Linked DNA regions of Ovis aries. The protein of the gene in region 2 binds, or shares a complex with, the protein of the main gene of each other region. Links are inferred from orthologs where the notes say so. Each region holds a gene or a part of one and is shown on either strand. Other genes may lie near its edges. The genes, in order: GATC and GATB.

What was found.
Region 1: GATB (region 2) and GATC share a complex: the UniProt entries of both Homo sapiens proteins name them as parts of the heterotrimeric GatCAB amidotransferase (AdT) complex. The link is inferred for Ovis aries from reciprocal best matches to the Homo sapiens genes GATB and GATC.

Annotation. Positions count from the first base shown.
Region 1 is NC_056070.1:62,883,079-62,887,460, reverse strand, and holds the start of GATC (glutamyl-tRNA(Gln) amidotransferase subunit C, mitochondrial), read right to left. Parts: upstream 2,983-4,382; 5' UTR 2,946-2,982; coding exon 2,865-2,945; intron 2,757-2,864; coding exon 2,584-2,756; intron 1-2,583. Other genes in the region: TRIAP1 (TP53-regulated inhibitor of apoptosis 1), read left to right, coding at 3,049-3,195, 4,319-4,382. UniProt on the Homo sapiens protein: Allows the formation of correctly charged Gln-tRNA(Gln) through the transamidation of misacylated Glu-tRNA(Gln) in the mitochondria. The reaction takes place in the presence of glutamine and ATP through an activated gamma-phospho-Glu-tRNA(Gln).
Region 2 is NC_056070.1:6,170,053-6,174,381, reverse strand, and holds the start of GATB (glutamyl-tRNA(Gln) amidotransferase subunit B, mitochondrial), read right to left. Parts: upstream 2,826-4,329; 5' UTR 2,809-2,825; coding exon 2,633-2,808; intron 447-2,632; coding exon 296-446; intron 1-295. UniProt on the Homo sapiens protein: Allows the formation of correctly charged Gln-tRNA(Gln) through the transamidation of misacylated Glu-tRNA(Gln) in the mitochondria. The reaction takes place in the presence of glutamine and ATP through an activated gamma-phospho-Glu-tRNA(Gln).

The DNA.
Region 1 (4,382 bases), about 57 Mb from region 2:
TTCCATCAGGAAAAGGCTAGGACAGGGTTGTAGATTGCCCTTATCTTTGTAAGTTGCATACCTATCCTTCCCAAGAAGCTGCACTCCTAAATGGCAAACAAGTCTGCTTTGCAAAAAAGAGTGTTTTCTTTAAAAATGTATTAAGATTTGGCAATAACTGGTAGAGGTGGTTAGGGGCTGCACACTCTAAGTACAGTATACACAAGCTGCTTTGTCAAAGACCCAGCCCTCCGGGTTGCATTACACTACTTCACTACTTGGATTATTACTCTGCCCCCTTAGGCAGTCAAAGGTAAATTTCCCTTTGCATTTCCACCTTCTCTAACACTAACCATGGTTAACAGTTTCTTGCATGCCCTTTCAGGGAACAAAACAACTTAATGCATGCACCAGAGTATATAAAATGGATTACACACAAAGCATCAATGAAACCACACACCATATTCTGAACTTTGCCTTTTTTATTATTAATAAGTATACCCTGGAAACCTTTCCATATCAGCATATATAGTTATTTCATTATTTTTAACTGTCATTTCAGTGTATGAAGATTAATTTAGCCATGAAGGACGCTTCAGTTCAGTTCACTCACTCAGTCATGTCCGACTCTGCGACCCCATGAAGTGCAGCACGCCAGGCCTCCCTGTCCATCACCAACTCCTGGAGTTCACTCAAACTCACATCCATCGAGTCAGTGATGCCATCCAGCCATCTCATCCTCTGTCGTCCCCTTCTCCTCCTGCCCCCAATCCCTCCCAGTTTCTTTTCTGTTGTTCTGTATTATCAACAGATTTGCATACCCTGAATGCTCGTGCACACATCTTGATGCACTGTCACAGATATATGTCACAGACAGGGAACCCCTAGGTCAGAAAAAGTGTATATCTAAAAAATTTTTGAGACAGGAATCCAGGAGTAAGCAAGTCAGATGTGAGCTCACTTTCTAATTACAAGAAATAGTACAAGTCAACAAAAATAAGATAATCAAGAAAAACAGTGGAAGAAAACCCGACAGGATAAGGAGATAGTGACTAGAGGGAGTGGAGGGAGAATTTAGAGTGGTTCAGTTCAGTCACTCAGTCGTGTTCGACTCTTTGTGACCCCATGAACTGCAGCTCACCAGGCCTCCCTGTCCATCACCAACTCCCGGAGTTCACTCACTCACGTCCATCAAGTCAGTGATGCCATCCAGCCATCTCATCCTCTGTTGTCGCCTTCTCCTCCTGCCCCCAATCCCTCCCAGCATCAGAGTCTTTTCCAATGTGTCAACTCTTCGCATGAGGTGGCCAAAGTACTGGAGTTTCAGCTTTAGGATCATTCCTTCCAAAGAAATCCCAGGGCTGATCTCCTTCAGAATGGACTGGCTGGATCTCCTTGCAGTCCAAGGGACTCTCGAGAGTCTTCTCCAACACCACAGTTCAAAAGCATCAATTCTTCGGCGCTCAGCTTTCTTCACAGTCCAACTCTCACATCCATACATGACCACTGGAAAAACCATAGCCTTGACGAGATGGACCTTTGTTGGCAAAGTAATGTCTCTGCTCAGAAAAACATCTATTTCTGCTTTATTGACTATGCCAAAGCCTTTGACTGTGTGGATCACAATAAACTGTGGAAAATTCTGAAAGAGATGGGAATACAGACCACCTGACCTGCCTCTCGAGAAACCTATATGCAGGTCAGGAAGCAACAGTTAGAACTGGACATGGAACAACAGACTGGTTCCAAACAGGAAAAGGAGTACATCAAGGCTCTATATTGTCACCTTGCTTATTTAACTTCTATGCAGAGTACATCATGAGAAACGCTGGGCTGGAAGAAGCACAAGCTGGAATCAAGATTGCCAGAAGAAATACCAATAACCTCAGATATGCAGATGACACCACCCTTATGGCAGAAAGTGAAGAGGAACTAAAAGCCTCTTGATAAAAGTGAAAGAGGAGAGTGAAAAAGTTGGCTTAAAGCTCAACATAAGATCATGACATCTGGTCCCATCCAGTTCATGGGAAATAGATGGGGAAACAGTGGAAACAATGTCAGACTTCATTTTTGGGGGCTCCAAAATCACTGCAGATGGTGACTGCAGCCATAAAATTAAAAGACGCTTACTCCTTGGAAGAAAAGTTATGGCCAACCTAGACAGCAAATTCAAAGCAGAGACATTACTTTGCCAACAAAGGAGAGGCCAAAGAGATGAACTGTCCAACAAAAAGAAAAGCAAGGGCAAAGACCTAGAGAAGCCACGAATCTGGCGTGTAGCAGAAATAGGCAGGAAGTCAAGTCGTCTGAGTGATGAGGTAGGGGGCGCTCTAGAAAGTTGGGCTTAGAAGGTGAAAGCTTAGACGTTTGGATTTTGTTCCTTGTTACACAGGGAGGGCTAGAGGATTTTAAAGGGGAGGGAGAGGATCCTTAACGAACGACGCAAAGAGCGAAAGCGTTTACTCGCAGGGTGACCGTGCGCAAGTTCTCGCGTGTCGCTAATGTTCTTTTCCCCTCGGTGGAATGAGAGACTAAGCTCCAGCCCTTACTGATAGCGAAGACGCCGCGGGCCATCCTTTGAGGGCCGCGCGGCCGCGAGCTTACCTGTCCTCCAGGACTGATTCCATGGGCTCCACTCCGTCGGTGTTCACCGCGCGGAGCCGATCGGCGAAGGCGATGGCTTTCTCCAGCCGGGCCACGGCCTCCTGGCTGCCGAAGTCCACCAGCGATAGCCGCTCCAGGTGTTGGATCAGCTCGCCCGTGACCCGGCCACTTCCCTGGGGGCGGGGTGGGGGGGCGAATGAGGCGGAGGGTGTGGGTTACGGGTGGGGCCTGCTCCGCCTTCCGCCCCGCTCCAACACCCGCCTGGACTCCCCGACCTCTACCTGAGGATCCGCCTTGGAGGTGAAGCCCCGGCGCCCGCGCGCCGCAGCCCGAAGACATAGGTGCACGGCCCGCGCCCACATTTCGCTCCCTGTCGGCCGCCGTAGCGCATCCTCTCCTAAGCGCGCGACGCGCTTAAAAGTGATGACATCCGAGAGCGCCGCCACCGCCGCGGACGCCGACGCCATGAACAGCGTAGGGGAGGCTTGCACAGACATGAAGCGCGAGTACGACCAGTGCTTCAATCGCTGGTTTGCCGAGAAGTTCCTCAAGGGGGATGGCTCCGGGGACCCATGCACCGACCTCTTCAAGCGCTACCAGCAGTGTGTTCAGGTGAGCTCCTACCCGGGCCCTCTCGCCTCTGCCCTAGGCCCCGGCTCGAGGGGGTTGGGACGGGCAGGGTGGAAGAAAAGCCTCGATGAGACCAGTGGCAGTTCTCTCCCTTACCATTCACCACCCGGGATGCGTGGTATCTTTCCGAATGTCAAAGGTAAGTCTTTTTGCAGCACCTTACTTTCTGCGGAGCCCAATTACATTCTTTGGTTCCTTTGGTGATGAACCTGAACTTGCAAAGTGAGCCCAGTTATTTGTATTTTATACGTGGAACACTCACGCCCAGAAATAGTTAAACGAGTAGTCGAAGTTCACTAGAATCAAGTGTCCTTGGATTTTGCTGTGGTGCACTTTTCCACTGACAGACGGGGTGTTAAGTCTCTGGCCTGTTAGACCTCATGGAGGGTCCTCTTATGTTGTCACAATGCCTTCACTGGCCTATGTTTTCTCTCTTGGCCAGTTAGAACATGTTTATTCCAGCACAGTGAATGTGAAACAGATCTGATTGTAAGAACAGCCCTGGGCAAGGCAGTCCCAATTAGTTAACTTAAAAAACATCCTCAGTAAGTCCAGGTGGACTTGTCTTTGTCCCGTAGACATTGGAAAGAGAGACTTGCTCAAAGTTACGTAGCCAGTAAGTCCTGGGACCGATTTGAACTTGTGTCTGTCACAATAGGAGTTTCCCAGGTGGCTCAGTGGTAAAGAATTCACCTGCAATGCAGGAGATGCTGGTTTGATTCCTGGGTTTGGAAGATCCCCTGGAGAAGGAAATGGCAACCCACTCCAGTACTCTTGCCTGGGAAATCATGTGGACAGAGGAGCCTGGCAGGGGTCACACAGGGTCACGAAAGTCAGACACTATTTAGTGACTAAACAAGTATCACAACAGAGTGGTGATACTGCTTAAATTGCACTTCTGAATTTTGTTACAACTCTCCAACTTCTCTCTCTGGTCTTACACTTAATTTCTTCATAATCATACTTCGGGTTTGTCATGTTTGGTAGTCCTTATGGTACAGTTGGATTTACTTTTGTACCTAAAGTACAAAATATTCTACAAAGTATTTCTAAAGTTTTGACTTCAGGCTTCATGTAGTCCCTTTATCATGTTTTCTTCCATCAGAAAGCGATAAAGGAGAAGGAGATTCCTATTGAAGGACTGGAGTTCATGGGCCATGGCAAAGAAA
Region 2 (4,329 bases):
TCGCCTTTGAACTTCTCAAAGACAAAGACAGTTGCTCGTCCTTCTATTTCAGTTCATAGCACAGACATTCTAGTATTCAGCAGACATTCTAAACTGTGAGTGAGATGTCTGTGAGTGAGATGTATGTATGAACAAACGGATGACATTTACACTTAGAATTCAGAGATGAGTCTTTAGAAAACATTGAGGCCATCCCACTCCAGTCAAAGTTTCCTAAACAAGTATTTCCTAAGAGTTATGTTCAGTGAAGGATGAACATTTTGCAAATGAAAACAGCATTAAATAAAAACCTTACCGGCAAAGTTCCAGGTAGAGATGCATCAAAAAAAGATACCAAAGAATTGGGAGGAGCTGCAAAGTGGACTTGAGATCCAGAAAAGAGTTTGGAGTTGGAGGCAATCTGGGCATGAATTTCCAATCCTACTACAGCTGCCCATTCACGTTCACTAAAGAGAACATAATGGCCAAGAAGTCATTAGGTTAGATCTATTACCATGAGTGAATTTCTATGAGCTTAAACTGCAAATGTTACTAATACTTCCCACTTGCGCTTTTAACTTATTAAAATTGTATATTCTACTTTAAAAAATGTGTTACATTGTATTGGGTAACTAAATTAAAAGAAATGCAAAATGAACACCAAGAAGACTGGTAAAGCAATATTCATTTATAACATGGCATAAGAAGAGTTCCCTGTGCAAACAAGGTAACAGGAACAATATGGGATCTGAAAACAATTTAGAAATGGTTATCAGGTGGAGACTGCTTGGCTGACTTTAATGAGAAGCACCATTTTCTAAATTAACTGTCCTTTGCCAGTTAATCACTCAGGAAAGCTGATTTTGTGAACATTTTTAGAACTAACAGAAATAAGATTTCACTACTAGAGAAATAATGGTAAATAAATAGTTGTACATCTCATTATTTAAAAAGGAAGGGAAATTCTCAGTCATGTTTTGAATTCATTTTCTAACAACGGTTTGCAAGTAAAGTAACCATAGTGATACAGATAAAATGGATTACTACTAAATGATAATCTTTGGAATTCTGCACAAAGGAAAACATTAAATCATCACAAGTGGCTCCCCCGCCCCAGCCCCCCGGTTCCCCAAATGACTTTAAATTCCAGACACTTAGTGTCAGGTTCCTTTGCATGTTTTAAACTTAATTGCTACCACACCCAAGAAGCTGCAATAGTGCAGTTCACATGCTACAATAATCTCTTGTCTGGTCACTCCTACTCTGCTGGGTCTGTATGAACATTCCATACACAGGTCTCCCTAGGTTCATCTAAGTGTGCTTATTCTATGGGTTATTATCAAACCCATGTATCCTGGGCAATCTGCAGATGGCCTGGTGTACACATACGCTCTCCATATTCTGTCTGTTCCTATCCTGCTCTTCCCTCAAGCAATTTTCTGTATTATCAAAATTTTTATTTACATGCATTTGGTTTTGTTTCGATCATTTCAACACATGAAGTTCTGTATTTATAGTACTGAAGAATTCCTTATTTTTAAAGTTTGCAATCACAAACTATAATTGAGAGGAATCAAACTAAGACGTCATCAGAAATCTGCATTCACTAAAACCCAATTCAATGTTTTTTTGCAGTTTCATTACATAAGAGAAAAAAACTTTTCATTCACTTTTCATAGTGAAACAACCTAATTTAATGAAAAGAACAGAACCAGTACTTCTGGACATTTTCCCCTCTGTAAAAACAGAAAAGCAAAAATAACAGCAACCTAACTATCTCAAAGGAAAAAATGAATATTTGACACATGCCTTATATTTCTGCACTTGAAAAGATATCATTTAGGTCTTATACAGTGAAATATAAGCAGCTGTTCAGACAATATTGAGCAAAATAAGCAACAGTCTCTACAGAACCAGAAGGAAGATCTCATACTGGCTGCATCTTCCTAGGTCTACACACACACCCCACACGTTCAACATGAAAGGCCTCCACAGATAGGTGGGTTTTCTAACTCAAGGCCAGCCATCCAGAACTTGTAGGTAAAGGCTCCTTTATACCACTAAAACACTGCTGGCCCGTAGTGTGCTAAATACATGTCAGCTAAATAAGATCCCACTTCTACTGATACTGGGCTGACTACTAGTTAAGGTGACTGAACCACTCTTCTGTGAAACATTAAAAAAAAAAAAAAAAAACTTGCTATTTTACACTCTCAAATTACCCAAATAAGGCTATCTGAAGACACTGGTTTATGTGTGGGGTAGGGACTGATAAGACAGCCAGTTTCCTGTCTTTATTTAGATTTCAGGGCTGCAACATACAGCCCAACACGTTCCCGCCCACCAAAACGTCCAGACTTAAGGCTGGGCTTTAAAGTGAAGTCGCTCAGTGGTGTCCGACTCTTTGCGACCCCATTAACTGCAGACCACCGAGCTCCTCTAGCCATGGGATTCTCCAGGCAAGAATACTGGAGTGGGTTGCGATTTCCTTCTCCAGGGAATCTTCCCGATCCAGGGATCAAACCCGAGTCTCCCGCATTGTAGGCAGAGGCTTTACCGTCTGAGCCACCAGGGAAGTCTGTAGTGGCCATCTCCCAAGTCCCACAGTTCTACCTCAACTTTAAGTGGGCAATACTGGTATGAAATAGTATACCCTTTTCTCGGCTTCTGGGCTGTGATGTGGGGCTGCTGAGCCACTGTGCTCTGCCCCCTTTTCCCGTTGGACGTGGACCCAGTCGGAGGCCCTCTTCTGTGGCAAGAACCGCAGCCAACCCGGGCGAAAGCAAACCGCCTTCCAGGACAGCACCACCGCAACATGGGCGCCGCCATTGTCTCTCCAGAGTCCTGGTCAGGTGACACAGCCTCCCTCTGCTGCAAGGCTCTCTGGGAAACGTAGTTCTCAGAAATTAGATAAACCGCGCTAGACTCGGACCGGAAGACTACTATTACCAGAGAGCACTGCGACCGGAAGGCTTCCGGAACTGGGCGGGGAGGGGGCGGGAAGCAGAAGGAGCCGGGAGAGTGGGAGGGTTTTTGGGTGGGAAGGTGTGACTCCTCCTAGCGGGGAGTTGGAGAGGTTTGTAGCTGTAAGCACGTGAGAGAGAGAGCAGGCGGTGCCAGAGATCGAAAGCTGAGAAACCTGGCTGGGATTTTATATACCAGTTAACCTGTCGGGCTGAAGTAAATGACCTTGACATCTCCATAAAGACTCTCTGAACCGCCCAACTCAGTTCTTTTTTCTGCTTCCTTTTCCACTTCAGACCCAAATGTAAGCATAACTGCAAGAAATAATTATTTGCATGCCAATATGCTCGGCATGGTTCTTAGACACGGGGGATTCAGCAGTGATCAAGGCAGATATAGCCACCATGTTCACGAAACTTACATTCTTGGTAGACTAGACATACAGAGAAGTTAACAAAAATAGGATGCTTTCAGATAGACCATAAGGACCATATTTCAGCACAGGTTCTTGGGAGATAGACAGACCTAGACTGAAACCTCAGGAAGATTTTAAATTTTTCTTTTTGATCTTGGCCAGTGTTTGAAAATACTATGTAACAACGGAAGCCTTGATAGCAAATACCATCATCCCAGTGGGCTTCTTTTTTTTTTTTCCCCCTGCTTCAAAATGCATCCCCTTCTTGAAACGCCCACTGATTTCTTGTATTTGAGCATACAGTTTAGAACAGCTATTCCACCATTCTCTATTAGATCGCCCTATACTAATACTCCACATAGTGCTCGTGACTATCTGATGTTTGTCTTCCATCTCCACAAGCTCCTTGAGAATGGGAAATCGGTCTGCCTTATTCAATACAGTATTACCAAAGTACAAAGTAGGTCTCTCAGAAATGCTTGTTGATTGAAGGATTGCTGTGTGAAGAATGCATTTGACAAAAGAATGGAGTACATGCCCTTCAGAGTAGCTGTGTGGGAAGGAGATGATGGAATAGTGTGGTGGTGGAGGCAGAGAGAAATTGACCTCTGTGAGATAGATTAGGAAGGTAAGATTGGAGGACTTGGTATTGGATTAGATATAATGGCGGAAGCCTAGGGGAGGGTCAAGTAACTTCTGAATTTCTGGCTTTATACAACTGGATGGCTGATGGAGTTACTCACTGAGATAAGGAAATCAGGAAAGAACAGACTTGTCAGAAAATACGACTTTGGTTGCCTTGGAGACGTATAAGAGGAGAAATCGAGTAAGCATCATTGATGCCTAACTGAATATTGAGCAGGGGGGGAACCTGCATACTTCATATATGTCACATGGATAGATTTGCAGTTTTTGATCAATAACCTGTTGATTGTGTATGTGTGAGCTCAGTAGTGTCCGACTCTTTTCAA